Alligator mississippiensis: one gene and its partner. The protein of the gene in region 2 purifies or fractionates together with the protein of the main gene of each other region. This does not show direct contact. Links are inferred from orthologs where the notes say so. Each region holds a gene or a part of one and is shown on either strand. Other genes may lie near its edges.

Region 1 (7,186 bases), on a different chromosome or scaffold from region 2:
TAGCACTTTGCTGGTAACATCATCTTCTAGCTGTCCTAATGTTTAAGTAAAATCAAGATCTGGCCAGACTAAGGTGGCACCAATGGAAAGAAAGAAATGCTTGGAAGCAGTCGCCTCCATTATAATATCCCTTAATATACAAAAAAAAATAAAAAAAATACTACGTATAGCAAGTTAGTCTGCACTCTTTGGATGGTTTTGAACTCCTCAACATTAGTGGATCACCAAATAGCCAAAACAGGAAAAGGAAACACCCATTTCCATGTGCTACAAGTTGTGTCTGAAGGGACGTGGCTACAGTAATATATACATTCATGAATTTGAGGCTTTGTTACTGTAATTGGCACTGCACACTCTGAAAAGCTCCAACTAATACAAAACACAGCATCTACTTAGCAACACAGGTTACCAGGAACACTTCACCCATGCATTCTGCTTGCTGTATGGCTCCCCAAACACTACAAGCTCAGCTGAAGGCCTCTGCCCTAGCATTCAAAGCTCTGCAGAGCTAGGACTTACTATAGCTAACAGATCTTTTCTATAGCAAACCCATTCCAAAAGTATGTTCCATTGGAACAAAGAAAAAAATTATGTTAGTTGACATCTGTGCATGCAAATGGCACAATTTTCACAGGAGCTGCAACTGGATTATAGAACTCACTTACACAAGACATAGCCACAGGCTCTGCAGCTTTAAGGACAAAATGTAAAGCTTAGTTCTTTGAATAATTTATTCATGTGTCATACTCCCTCCTCAATCGCAAGTAATTTTTTTGATCAAGTATAAAACTAGCCCATCTATCTAGCTCACTGGCTTCCACCAAAAAAAAGGAATTGTTATTTTTTGTTCTTGTGAAGCAGCCAGCTACTACAGTGAAGGGAGATGCACAATAAAATGAGATGGAGAGAACAGGGCAGAAGTCTCCTAGAAGTGCACAGTATTGTACATACTGGGCATGAAACCAAATCCTAGACAACTTTGCATGAGCTTCTGGGCCACAACGTTAATAACTGAGCTGCTCTGATATTTGATTGATAATTGCCTTCCATCGCTATTTTTTGCATATACTTAAAAATAATTATTTTGTGCCATTAAAAATTGAGATGTTCTATTTGCATGCTTTGCGAAGGCAATGTCACAAAAGTGCGTTGTTTCTTCTTTTTCCTGAATTTCAGAGAACCCTGCAGGTTTACTTCTGGCTTTAAACTCTTTCTCAAATGCAAAAGAAATACTGACCATTTAATGCAACTAAACATGCATTTACTTATGAAAGTCTACTGACCTTACAGAATTACTTAGTTACACTAAATAGTCAGAGAACGCCAAACTATACCTCTCTGTATAATTCATGGACAATCTGTTCTTTTTCCAATCCTGACACTCCAGAAAACCAACTTCTATGCATCTAACACACATTATAAAATGAACAATTATTAACTTTATAACGAATAACAGCCATTTGGCCTCCTAAAGCTGAATGACTTTTCTGTACTGTGGTTAACCCAGCGCATCACAACCACACTTGTTCTACAACATACATTTCAAAACACAGGAACCCAGAAGAACCTGCACATCTACCACAAAGCCTGAGTCTCATGTAGTTCACACTTACAATTCTACTCCTAACACCCCCTTCAAACCATGCTGGACTTAGTTCCTGCCCGTTTAAACCATTAGCTTGCAAAACAATAAACAAATTAGCCCACTGCTACTTGAACCCCATCAGCACTTGAAGCAAACACATAAAATCATGAACAAGGTAAAATGGTACCATGATTAACAAAAGCAACTTGTGGCCCTTTGAAGAAAAGCGAAAACAGTAAATATTTCTGCAAGGCTCACCAGACAAGGAATAGGCACCTTGAATACAAGAAAACGGGAGGCCGGAGCCCAGACAAAAATGCCTGCTCTGGGTAGTGCTTAGAGACAAATGTTGCTGGGGGGAGGGGTGCACTCACCTTCAAACGCTTGACCACCTCGTCGTTGGTGATCTTGTCCGTGATCTCTTTCACTCCGGGAGGGTAGCAGATGATCTTCCCATCGCTAGGAGGTTTTGGTTGGGTAGCAGGGAAGTCCATCCTGGGGCCGCTGGTGAGAAACTTTCCGTCTGCACAGTCCTCTACCGGCCTCTATCGGTCAGAAAACAAAAGTTCAGCGGAATGGCAGCGACTTTCTAACCCTCTTTTTCCAGGTCTAAACCTCAATTCGCAGAAGGCCCCACTGCTCGGCGAGCAGGCACCCGCCTGCCCCCGGGCCCCCTGCCTCACCAGCCGCCAGCCAGGGCCGACGCCTCCACCGGGAAGAGTCCTGGCCGCCCCCCTCCCCCCGGCGCCTCCCTGCGCGGCGCAGCGGCAGCCCCAGCCCGGCGGCGCTTGGAGTTGGCAGCCTCGCCGCGTACAATGAGCGCTGGGCCCAGATGGCAGGAGGCCCCGCGCGGGAGGCCCGGCCTGGCCCAGCGCAGCGCGGCGGGGGGTCGGCCAGGCCCCGGGGTGCTCGGAGGCGGCCCCAGAGCCGGGAGCCGAGGCCTAAACAATTAGGCCTCAAAACTATGGGCAGGCGGAGGAGCCGCCGGGGGCGGCCGGGAGCACAAACCTCGGCGCCCGGCCCGGCCTCGCGCCCCCGGCCCGGCCCGGCCCGGTCCGGCCCGGCTGCCCGGGAGGGGCCCCCGGGGAGCCGGCCCGGCCCGCTCGCCACTTTACGCCTCTTCCCTCAACTTCGGGCGGCCGCAGCCCCGCGCCCGCCCACAAAGGGCCCTGGCCCCGCGCCCGGGGGAGCGGAGCCGCCTTTACCTCATGCAGCTCCGGAAGGTGCAGCATGGAGCAGCCTCCTCCGCCGCCGCCTCCTCCGCGCCGGCCGCAGCTACAGGCTCCGCCACCGGCCGCCCGGCGCCCCGCCTGCGCCCGCTGCCTCCGTGCTCCGCGGCTCGGGCCCGGGGACAGGGAGGGGGCGGGGGAGGCTGCTCGGCGGCGGCGGCAGGAGCGGGGCGAGGGGGAGGCTCCGGCGGAGCGTGCGCCGCGCCGCGCCGCGGGGACACAGTGCCGCTCTCCGTCCGGCCGGGGAAGGACAGCCCAGGAGGAGGCTCCGCGCTGCCGCCCGCCCTGCCCCGCCCCAGCAGCTGCAGGGCGCGCCCGGCCCCTCAGCCCGCGCTGGCTTGCTCAGCGACGGGGCTGGGGCTGGGGCGCGGGGCCCGGCCGCAGCGGCGCCGCCTCCCGCTTGGCGCCAAAACCAGGGCCCGGTCCGGGCCGGGGGCCGCGAGGAGCCACAGGAGACGCGGGTGCTGGTTGCTCCCTCAGCCGGGCCCTGCCCCTGCTGCCGCGGCCGGGGCGCCCCCCGTGGGCCGCGCCAGGGTGCGGGCATTCCCCTCCCGGCGGCGCCACAGTCTCCGCCGCGAGTCCAGGCTTCGCGGGTCGTAAGTCGGTTTCTGCGGCAGAGCCGCGGGCAGGGGAGAGCCCGCGTGGGAGGCCTCTTTGGCCCGCGAATGCTTCGTCTCAGCTGGACCCGTCGCTGCTGCTGGGCTGCGATCGGCGCGAGGAGCATGCCCCTGTTTGTGGTGGATCCGGGCTCTCCCCAAGCAGGGAAGAAGCCAGGCGTGTTGGTCCGCAGAGCCTGCTGGCTGAAGACGGGCCTGGCCGAGGCAACTTCTGGGCAGCGGTTCTCCAGCGTTTCATCCTCAAGGCAGCTCTTGGAACCTGCCAGCTCCTAGTTGTCACTCACATTTTGACTGGGGGGGAGAATACAAATCAAAGGAAGTTTAGGTTGGAGATTAGAAAAAACCCTCTCTCAAGGAAGGTAGCATTGGAACAGACTAGCCATTGTTTGCAGTGTCTCTGCCCTTAGAGGTTTTTAAGACCAGGGTAGAAAGAAAAAAAAAAAGCCTTGTCTGGGATGGTCCTGCTTTGAGCAGAGGTTGGATTAGATGACCTCAAGGTCCCCTCCAACCCTAGTTCTCTATTTGTGGCACGGAACTCCAGAAAGCCCATGACTGGTCAAAATGGTTTGAATACAATAGATTCCCATCTGAAAGCCTCAAGTTTATCCTGTGATTTGTGTTTGCACACTCAACAGTGCTAATATTGTGTAATACTCCTGAAAAGATCTCAAGGCACCCCTTGAAATCATTAGCCTATGGTAGTTACACTTAAGTAATGCACACTGTATCCAAGTTATTCTTCATACGTACGTCATCAGCCAGCATATGTCCAAGGCATTGCTATCACTGCAGATCTTTGAAAGGAATTTATATATAACATGAAGGACCTTTTTATAGAAACACAGAAAGGTCCTTCCATGCCCCATGTAATGGGGAACAGAGCTCCCTACTCGGGTATCTTGAGCATGTATTAACATTTCATAGAAGCAGGACATTGGCTGCCATGGTTCCTCTGCTTACCTTGTGGCAGGTGGTGTTAGGTCTGTGCGGTATCAGAGCTGACAGCAGTGTGGAATAGTTTACCCATTGTTTGGTTCACTGGTAGAATCCTTAACTACTATGTGGGAGATCAGGGTTTGATTCTCAAACATGCATATAACTACAGCTATTGAGGCACCAACCATCTAGACCCAGTCTGGCCTTTGGATACCCATCTCAGTCATCTAAAGGTAGGGGATGGAGAGTCTTGGCATCCTCCACACTCCTGTCTAGACATATATTTCAAAGGTCCTGATGACTTCTCATGCATACACCATGATCCAGAAGGATGGCTGGTTGCCTACTAAGCTACAGGCCCATCCCCATGGAACAATACAAGCTTTCTACATGAAAGTTTTTAAAAGGTGGAGGAGGGATGCAAGCATGACTGGAGTTTCTTGATGGAAGGCTTGGTAGAGAGACAGGCCTGCTTAAGAATTAAGTACAACTCTCTTCAGGGAGAGAGACTGACCATCACCACTTGTAAGAAAATCTGACAGGATGGTGAGAACAGGAGAGATTCTGTCTACACTCAAATGCTGACAAACTTCAGATACATGAGAGGACATGGGATCAGACCAGAGAAGGGTAATACATTGTTTTCAAAGATGTAAAACCCTTCAAGTATTTGAATAAAGTTTCTGTAGATAAGAATTTCCTTTGCTAAGCATGTTCTCTCAAGTAGTTACTAGTAGGTACCCATTTAGCCTATGCAGAAGCAGGGAGGAAGTCATGGAGAAAAGAAAAAAAACTGACAAGGCTAAGGAGGTCTCAGACATGCTTTTAGGAGTCTAGAGAGGCAGAGCAATGAGGTCAGATATCACAAGGAAGGTACTGGGCAAAAGGTCTGAGCCTGAATGAGTGCCTTGTAGAACCCAGACCTAGAGAGGGTAACTGTATGCTACACAGATTTAACTGGTTTGGAAACACATGGGCTTTAGTGTTGGAATATATTGGTAGCTACATGGTCAGGTAGAGGCCCAGATTGCAAAGTCATCAAAAAGAGTTATCCAAAAGCCACAGAATGTACTTAGATTGTTTTTGTTCAGTCCAGACTTCAATGACAAGGTAGATCAGAGCTGCACCACAGTTAATCCTTCTGGATATAGTGTAGTGGAATACACCCTGGCTTAAATGAAATGCAGCTGTATCTTATTGATAATAGAAATCAGACAAAAAAAATTAATTTAGTCTGAACTGACAAGTTTTTTTTTTTTTAAATAATATATCTTTGTAATTAAGTTTTGAGTTCTACACTTCCATTCTTAAATAGCTACAGTATGTGGCAAAGTGGGCCACAGTGCTAGTCTCCCTGCCTGCTTTTGGGCATGCCACCTACCCGTCTCTCCTGCCATGCCTTGTTGTTAATTAAGGCAGGAGGCTGCCCATTCTTGCCCCAATACCAGGGGTGCCATCTGCAGCTCCGTTCCTTCCCTACACCGCAGCCCAAGCCTTGCAGATGGCATCCAGATGACAATGCTCCTGGCTTACAGCCGGACCAAGCTTAGGCCTCATTGTCAGGCCACACACACGTCGACAACTTATATTTATACTGCTTTGCTCTTAGCAAGCTCATACCTTGGGTAGCAGATGTACCATCTTTTGGGCCTATCCCACAACACTCACCGGGGTAGTGGCCAGCCAATTACCCAACCAGGTCTAAACTTGCTCTGGTCCCTTCCCAGGGTAACTCTGTACACTCAGAAAATACTGGGCTCCACATCTCACACCACCACCCACACTGGGGCGCCACATCTCCACCCCCTCACTGGGGCTCAGGTGGCCATAGCCATACCTGGCCCCAACTACCTCTCCTCAGGGTCCTACACCCCACAGGGCTCAGGTGGCCACAGCCATGCCTGGCCCCCACTCTCATTCCACAGGGCTCGGGCAGCTCCAGCCATGCTGGCCCCACTATCTCCAATGATAAATAACCCACCCGAAGATGAGGGCTAGGGTTAAGGCGCCCCTACCTGCCTTTCACCAGGGTGGTAATAGGCTTGGCATTTCCTGGGTGTTTCTGCACCACAGAGCCCCACCAAGCCACCCACTCCTGGCACAGTGCAGCTTTAGGTCATGCCCAGGAACCTCCAAACCATCCCCTTCAGCTCCTGCCCTTACCTCCAGAATGTTGCATAGAGTCTTAGCAACCAGACAATATTACTGCCTGGCTTGCCAGTAGCTAACTGCCCTGTTTATATAGGTGGCCAGAAGTCTAAAATGGCCACCACAATCAAGCACCTGCTGGCTGTTTGGCTCCACTCTTAAAGTGGCAGGCACCAACAGTGCCCTTCCACACACCTTCCCCCTTAAAATAGTTCCTGAGGAGATTTCCACTGCTGCTCCTCCAAAGCAGGCTCCCTTCAGAGCCCATGAAAGCTCTCAAGTGACAAGCACCCCCAAAGGTGTTCTGCCACACACCTCCCCCCTTAAAATTGACATTCAGGGGTTTCCCTTGGCTGCCTGCTCTAGTGGCTTTGTCCCAGCCTACTACAGCCCCTTCCACATGGTGAGCACCCCAAAGGTGCTCTGCCACAGTACTCCCCAACTTAGAGGGATAAACCTGAATTCACTGTTTCATCAGATCTAGCTTTTTATTTTTATGCCAAAAAACAAAACAAAACAAAAAAAAAACAAAAAAAAAACAACCAAAAAAACTAAGTCAAGAGACAAGCTCTGGAAAAACTTATCTAAAGTAAATCAAAACTTGGATGTATAAAATTGGTATTCATCCATGTGACTTATTTGGGACAGAAAGAAAACTTAGACTATAAAAG
Region 2 (7,366 bases):
ATAATAGAGGGTTATGTTCCCGACCAAGGGCCTGATGCCCAACTTTTTATACAAATGACCATAAACACCATATTTAAATCTGCTATTTAATTGGAAAGTGAAGGAGACTTAGGGCCACTTGATGGCTTTTTGAAAAACTGATCCAGGGATGTTTGTTTTATTGCCCTCTCAATCTCATTGTAAATTTCCCTGTAGCGCGCATAAGCATTAGAGATCAAGTTGTTGGTCTTTGAGAATCTCTTGAGGGTTGGTCCACCCCCCTGATCTGTGATACTGATGGCCTGGGCAAAGGTTCTTCTAAGGTAGTAAGCCTTAAAAGATGCAATACATAGGCTGGAGCCTTAAAAGCTGGTCCATAGGCTGGAGCAGCGATGTTGCTGGGGGCAAGAAAACAACCTTGATGTTAGGGTCTAAACCTGCAAGGTGTGCAGGATGCCCAGGGGTATTGTCTAAAATTAACAATGCTTTATGTGCAAAGCTGTTCCTTTCACAATAATTCTGAACAGCTGGCACAAAATAGTCAGTGAACCAATCCTCAAAAAGGGCTCCAGTCACCCAAGCTTTACGATTTGATTTCCAGATGACTGGAAGGCTGCCTTTAACATAACCCTCAAGTGCTCTGGGCTTTTTGGAGTGATAAACAAGCAAGGGTTTGAGCTTGAAATCACCCGCAGCATTTGAGCCAAGCAAAAGGGTAAGCCTATCTTTAGGTGCACTGAATTTTTCATCTTTGGATCCCTCACCATGTTGTTGCTTCACGTGTCAAAAAGACTCAAAGCCTTGGCTTGAATGGTGGCTAAACTCAATGGCACACAGCACTGAGTTTGATCCTGAATCCACAAAATTAAAAGTCTTTCCATCTCAGCCACAAGTCCTGCACATTGCCTTATAATAGTGGATTGCAATGAGGCTGAGCTTTTAATTTCACCACTTATTTTTTTCTTTTCTCTAATAATAGTTTGCACAGTAGTATGAAATAGGTCCAATCGCCTACCAATTTCAGTTTGCGACAAACCACTCTCACTAAGCTCAATCACATTGGCTTTCATGTCTAAGGTGATGACTTTTCTCCATTTCTTATCAGAACCCACACCATCACTAGAGCACTGCCTTTCCTTTTAATCAGCCATTTTTAAGGCAGAAACCCCTGCACTAAGAAATATCAGGAAGCCACTAAGCAGGAACCCCTGCACTGAGAAACAGCAGACTGAATACAGTACTGAATATAAAAAAGCTTAACACTAAGCACTAAGGACTTGCACTAAGAAACTTGCACATCAGGACTTGTACTGTATTGCCAAGTACAAGCTGCAAGGTTCTTGAATGGACACGGCTTGAATTTCACTTTCTATTACTTAGGTTTGCTCAAAGAGAGAACTCCCCTCAACACTGCAAAGGCATTACAGCCATAGACTACAATGGGCAGCTTGGGTTCTTTAATTTGGAAGTAGAAGAAACTCACACATCAGGACTTGCATATCAGGATGCTGGAGCACTGACTGAATGATGTATGGCGCTGGATTCTCGCATTTACAGCATGCCATAAGTGCGAGGATCAGCACCATAAGTAATAATGTAGGTGTAAAACGCAGAGCGCCGCAAGTGCAGATTGCTGCAAGTCGAGCCGCTGGAAGTCAAGGACTGCCTGTAGTGCACTGTGATAGTGCTCTTTTTTCAAAGCACTGCCTGCAACCTAGGGGGTTGTCAGTTACCCAATGGTTTGTGCTGCTGTATCAGAGGACAAGGAGCACAGATAACCAAGCTGACACACACATATCTCTTACAAACACTGGTATTCCGTGATAAGAGGGACACTGTGAACCTGAGAAGCCGCATTTCTGCCCCAAAACATTCCACCCCCTCCTATGATAAACAGTAAAGATGCAATAACTGAAAATACATGGAGAGGGAAACTATTTTCTATTTGCTTATGGTAATTTGACACATTTTTAATTAATATATTTCATGTTTCAGGTCAAATCAGCCAAATCATATTGAGTGAGCAGAACTCAATCGTTCCAAAAACCATATTGATTGAGCAGGCAGAACTCAATCAATCTAAACACCACGTACAGCGCTACAACCCCCGAGCATCTTCTCACACTGATGCTCCCAAATCCATCAGCAGGCGTCCTACCAAGCGTTTCGATGGTGACCCGATTTATTTTTCTTGCCAAAATATTTATTCCTATATTCCTTATTTTTTTCTTCTTTTCCCTTCTACATTCCTTTCTTGCCAAAGTATTTATATCTATATTCCTTTCTTTTCTTGCCAACTATTTATTCCTATATTCCTTACAATCTATGAACACACACACACACTCTCCCCCCCCCACGGCTCTGCCGAGGGCCCCCGCGGGTCACCTGGCAGCTCACAGCACACGGAAGGCCCGTTACACAGGTCGCCCCGCGCCCATCTCCTGACGACCCGACCCCGACCCCATCCCCGCCGACACCCCTTCCCCCCGGGCCGCAGCGCCCCACCTCCTGCTCCGCTCGCACCGAGTGAAGAGGCCGCCGCGAGCCCCCCACCCCCCGCCCCGGGCGCACTCACCGACGAGCTCCCCGGCCATGAAGAGGAGGTAGAGGACGGCGGCCAGACTCAGCCGCCTCTTCACCTTCGCCTGGCGGCCCCGCTCGCGCTGGCGACGGCAGCCGTGGCAGGGGTCGGGCCGGGCGCCGGGCGCGGCGCCGCGCAGCAGCAGGGAGTCGCGGTCGGGCGGCGGCCCGAGGTGGGCGCCGTTGGCGGGCGGCTCCGGCCCCGCGTCCGAGACGTCGTCGGACACCACGACGCGCAGCTTGTTGAAGCGGGGACAGTCCTCGGCCGCCTCGTCCGAGAAGTCGAAGGCGCTGGAGTCGTTGAGGAAGAGCGGCTCGTCGCGCCGCCGCAGCGCCGCCCGGATGCTGCTCCACAGCCGGGCCCCGGCCATCGCCGCCGCCGCTGCCAGGCGCCCTCATGCAGGCGGGCACCGGCGCCTCACGCCATGGCGGGCTCGGGCCTGCTGCCCGGCCGGCTCCTCACGACGCGGCGGCCGCGCTCCCCGCAGGCGAGGCGCGGCGCGGCGCGGCGCGGCGCAGCTCGCAGACGGGCCTGGCGGCGCTCGCACGCCGCCTGCCGAGGGGCGGGCCCGCGCGGCAGCCATGCGCCCGGTCCGGCCCGGCCCGCGGCTTGACCTGAGGGGCGCCCGGCCAGGCCCCTGCCTCCCGCGGCCCCTTTGTGGCTTCATAGTCTCAGTGCAGTGAAACGGCCTCGGATGGCTCTGGGCGCCCCGGGCCCCGCTTCTCCCGCACTCACCGCCCGCGCCTCGGGCCGCGGGGAGGCGGCTGCGCCGCGGCAGGGACAGGGACAGGGCGTGAAGCTGCTGGAGCCCGCGTGTGCGGCGCGGCGCTGCGGGCCCGGCTGAGTTACTGCCGTGGCATCTGTGGGAAGGAAGGCCGGGCTTTAGTCTGGCAACGGCATAAGCAGCTGCTTGGCTTGAGAGGGAGGACAGGCGTGAAAGCTTAACGGGATCAGAGCCTTTTTTACTAATGTAGCACGGCAGGGATGGGTGGTAACTCCTGCACCCCCTGCCAGTCTGTCAGCAGTTCTCCAGCGATGGGACCTCGTCTCGCCTGTGTTGCCAGACCAAGAATGTGTTAGTGGGCAGAGGGGCTCTAATTTACGGTCCAGTCTGGCAAAACTCTGTGTTGCATCAGGAGGCTGGGGGAGCACTGGAATGGGCTACCCAGGCCCACGGGTGGCTGGTGCCTCCTGAGCCTGGGGGGCACCCAGAGAAGCTGCCGGCAGCGGTGCGGGAACAGCATGTGCCCCCCCCACCAGTCGCCTACACCTAAGCCAGCGTTTCTCAGCCTGTGGGTTGCAAACCAAAAGCAGGTCATAAGAACATAGGAAAGGATCATGAACAAACTTTAAAAATGGATTCTTCTTTAAAGGAGAAAAACGTGGGAAACTGTGGTGTTTCCCCTGTGGGCTGGCAGAGTTCCAGCCTTCAGGGGGCTGCTTGGGGCCTCCGGCCCCACAAACACCCTTTCCCCCATACACCCACCCCCGCCCACACTCTGGGGGCAGCAGGTCAGGACTGAGGGGCACTGGGTCAGGACTGGCCATCAATTTTTTCAATTGGGTCCTGGTACAAAAGAGGTTGAGAACCACTGACCTACAGAAGTGGTGGGATCTCCATCCTTGGAGGTTTTTAAGCCTCGGCTCTACAAAGCCCTGGCTGGAGTCTTTAGTTGGGGCTGCTTCTGCTTTGAGCAGGGAGTTGGACTAGATGACCTCCTGAGGTCCCTTCCAGCCGTAACTTTCTATGATTTCTCCCCAGGTGTAAGGTTAGATGGTATGGCAAGGAAAATGGTTGCTCAGGTTACCTACCTATCCATGCCAGTATTTCATAGATCTATTTGCAGCATGGTTTAGAGAGTTTGACTATAAAAGCCCTAAAACTAAAATATGTTCTGTCAATACAAAGCCAATTTCTTTTCCACGCGCCTGCTTTGCTACACAGATAGGACTGATGTACGGCATACTTGTGTGCATAAAGCACCTATTGTATTTGTGGGTGTGGAATGTTAAGAAGTGCTGTAGGCTTGAGGGATTTACATCTATGGGTTACACGTTAAAGGATACGAATGTGCAGTGCCGGTCTGCTTCCACAGGAAAAAAAATTCATGCATTTTTCAACTGAAAATAGAGGCAAGGGTGATCTTCACATACTGTTTCAAATTTCTCTTCACCTGTTAAAACATTGGTGTCTTTTCTACATTTTGAGGGAAGCATGTCCATATCCCTTTCCTCGCAGGCAGCTCCCACACCGAAGCATCCTTGTGCCCTAGCCAGCCCCGTCAGTGTCTATACCTGTCACAGTGCACTAAACAAGTACACAACAGTACTTGTGTTTACAAGCACTCACCTACAGCGGTGTTTATTAGTTTACTGCAGCCTAATAGGGTTGCACGTGATAGAGGCTGAGACTTTACTGTGGAGCTAATTAGGCAACTCCACAGTAAACATCTCATGTAGATGTACCCTGAATCTAGTAATTTGCTGCCTCTACTTCTACTGAGAGGCAATTTCAGAATATCCCTGCTCTAGTAGTTAGAAACTTCCATGTCTTCAGCCTTTATTTATTCATTTACAAGTTTCTACCCACTTATTCTTGTGCCAATGTTGTACTTTGCATTTCTGATGTTTATATCCCTGATGTATTAATTGAGAACAGTCATATTTCCTCTCAACCTTGTTTGCTAGGCTAAAAACCAAACAAGAGCTTTTCATTCCTCTCCACTCCCCTGAGATGGGGGTGGGGCTCCAATCCACCTGCCCTGCCCCTCCAGTGCAGGCGGGGCAAATCCCAGATGGAAACCCCGTTCTGAAGACAGCACTGGGGGCAGTCTGAATCCTTGTGTAATGAGGATTCAGATTGTTGTATGATTGAACATTTTGAAAGCACTCTTCAGTCAGTGCATGACTGTAGAGCAGGGGTCCAATCACACAACAAACCGTCAGTATCAGTGCCCTATATTGTGGCCTTCCTTTCTTACCTCCACCTGGAACTTATTACAAAGCCTAGACTGGTGGCACCCTAGAAACAACCCAGCAGAAAAAGAAGTAATGTAACAAATGACACCTGATACAGAGGTAATTGCCTACCTGTTCACATTGTATCTTTTTGTCAGGCTATTTTAATACAACCAACACAAAACAACTTTATTCCCCTTCTTTTGCTGCTTGATTTCCTTTCTGTAGTCAGATGGGTCTTCCTCCAGTGATCCCCCCAAAGAATGCCTGTGGCAAAGACCGGCCCATTGGCTTCTAATGGGGATTTAATCTCTGTGATAACTTCTCTAGCCTCAGTTTCAACAGCACAGTGTTGTGTCAGCCATGCTAAAATTCTGTTCTTCTTGGGAGAGTTGTTATGGATAACTTGGGGTTTAGTTTTGGGACCCAGCTGTATCCTATATACCCTTTCATTCAGTAGGGCATTGAATTATTCCTCAAATTTATCAGCTCAAGACTCCCATTCTCTCTTCTTCCTTCCAGGTTTGTGGAACCAGACCAGGTCTCCTCTTTAAACTTTGCTCTTTAGGGTGTTACATAATAATCTTGACATTGTATCAAAAGCTTTCATCAGTTTTTCCCTGAAAGAGGTATGAGCATTTTCAACCTTGGATTCTAGGGTTTCTACATTGTCCAATCCTTTTGTTCTTCAGGAATTGCACGTAAGGTTTGCCAATATTCTTGGCTGATGCCCAAACTCGAGTATACTTTGTAATTCCAATGACTGCTCTTTTATAAGCTAACAAAAGGAAGGGGATATGCTAGTATCAGCTCCTGTGGTGCTGTTCTACAAAGATAGCCAGCTGAACCCCAAGAGTGCTGTTAAACTGTTTGCTACTGCACCAGTTAGTTTGTGGTTGTGCCAGAGTGGTGGAGGGTGTGTGATTCCTGCTACTGTCACAGCTTCAGGGTTGCTTATTGCTAAGTTTCTGGTCATCTTGCAAAAGCACCTGTAGCCATTAGAGAATACTGATTGCTGAACTCTGCTCAAACTTGAGTACATCAACTGCAACTCCACTGATACTCCCAATGGAGAAGCTGCTGGCTGGGGGTTCTCCCAGTCTTAGGGGACCCAGAAATCAAGCATCAGATTTTATGTACCAGTTTTCTACATCCTGCCTATATTTCACGCTATAGGGATCATCTCCTAGGTTAACTAAGATTCCTGCAGCCCAAGGTCCAGTGTTGTTAAAATCAAGACGTCCTCAAGCCATTCTTTTTCAATCTGTTGGGAAGAAACTAAGATGCCTGTACCAATCATTTGCTGTTTTTCAGTGTTGTCCTAAGGGGATGTTGCCTTTCAAAGTATCCGTGTTCCTTTAAAATTTATCTCAGGGGAACTTAGGGACAGTAAAAGTTAACTGTTTCCCATAGTGTTTGTGTTATTGCCAGTTTCCTTCTGGTTTTACAAACCACATTTATCAGATGTTCTGATAAACCAGATTCAAATTTCCTTTTCTGTCACACACATGGACATGGAACTACTACTTGGCACAGCACAATAAACAGTATTAAGTTCTGATCTTGCAGTTGGCTGGGTGCAGTTATCCAACCTGTCTGTCATTTGGGTTGAACGCAAACTATTTTTTTCTGCCTAGCCACTGAGCCAAAAAAAAAAAATCATTTAGTCATACAGCTTTAATTCCATGTACCTCTCCCAGGCTAACTTGTTCCACTCCCCTCTCTGTTATCTACACAAATAATGATACTCATTCAAGTTCATTTTCCATTGTCTCTATTCCCAGACCCACTGCAACTTCAAATCCTAAACAATCTAAATGTCACTCTATGTCCAGATATTTGCCCCCA

What was found.
Region 1: the proteins of SLC30A4 (region 2) and PDS5A purify together in Homo sapiens (affinity purification with mass spectrometry; 3 studies listed by BioGRID and IntAct, counting the BioPlex papers as one, with this or other methods). This does not show direct contact. The link is inferred for Alligator mississippiensis from reciprocal best matches to the Homo sapiens genes SLC30A4 and PDS5A.

What each region holds. Positions count from the first base shown.
Region 1 is NC_081825.1:51,099,994-51,107,179, forward strand, and holds the start of PDS5A (sister chromatid cohesion protein PDS5 homolog A), read right to left. Parts: upstream 3,019-7,186; 5' UTR 2,818-3,018; coding exon 2,791-2,817; intron 2,710-2,790; exon of another isoform or gene 2,594-2,709; intron 2,131-2,593; coding exon 1,960-2,130; intron 1-1,959. UniProt on the Homo sapiens protein: Probable regulator of sister chromatid cohesion in mitosis which may stabilize cohesin complex association with chromatin. May couple sister chromatid cohesion during mitosis to DNA replication.
Region 2 is NC_081834.1:19,129,468-19,136,833, reverse strand, and holds the start of SLC30A4 (probable proton-coupled zinc antiporter SLC30A4), read right to left. Parts: upstream 3,066-7,366; 5' UTR 2,931-3,065; coding exon 2,555-2,930; intron 1-2,554. UniProt on the Homo sapiens protein: Probable proton-coupled zinc ion antiporter mediating zinc import from cytoplasm potentially into the endocytic compartment. Controls zinc deposition in milk.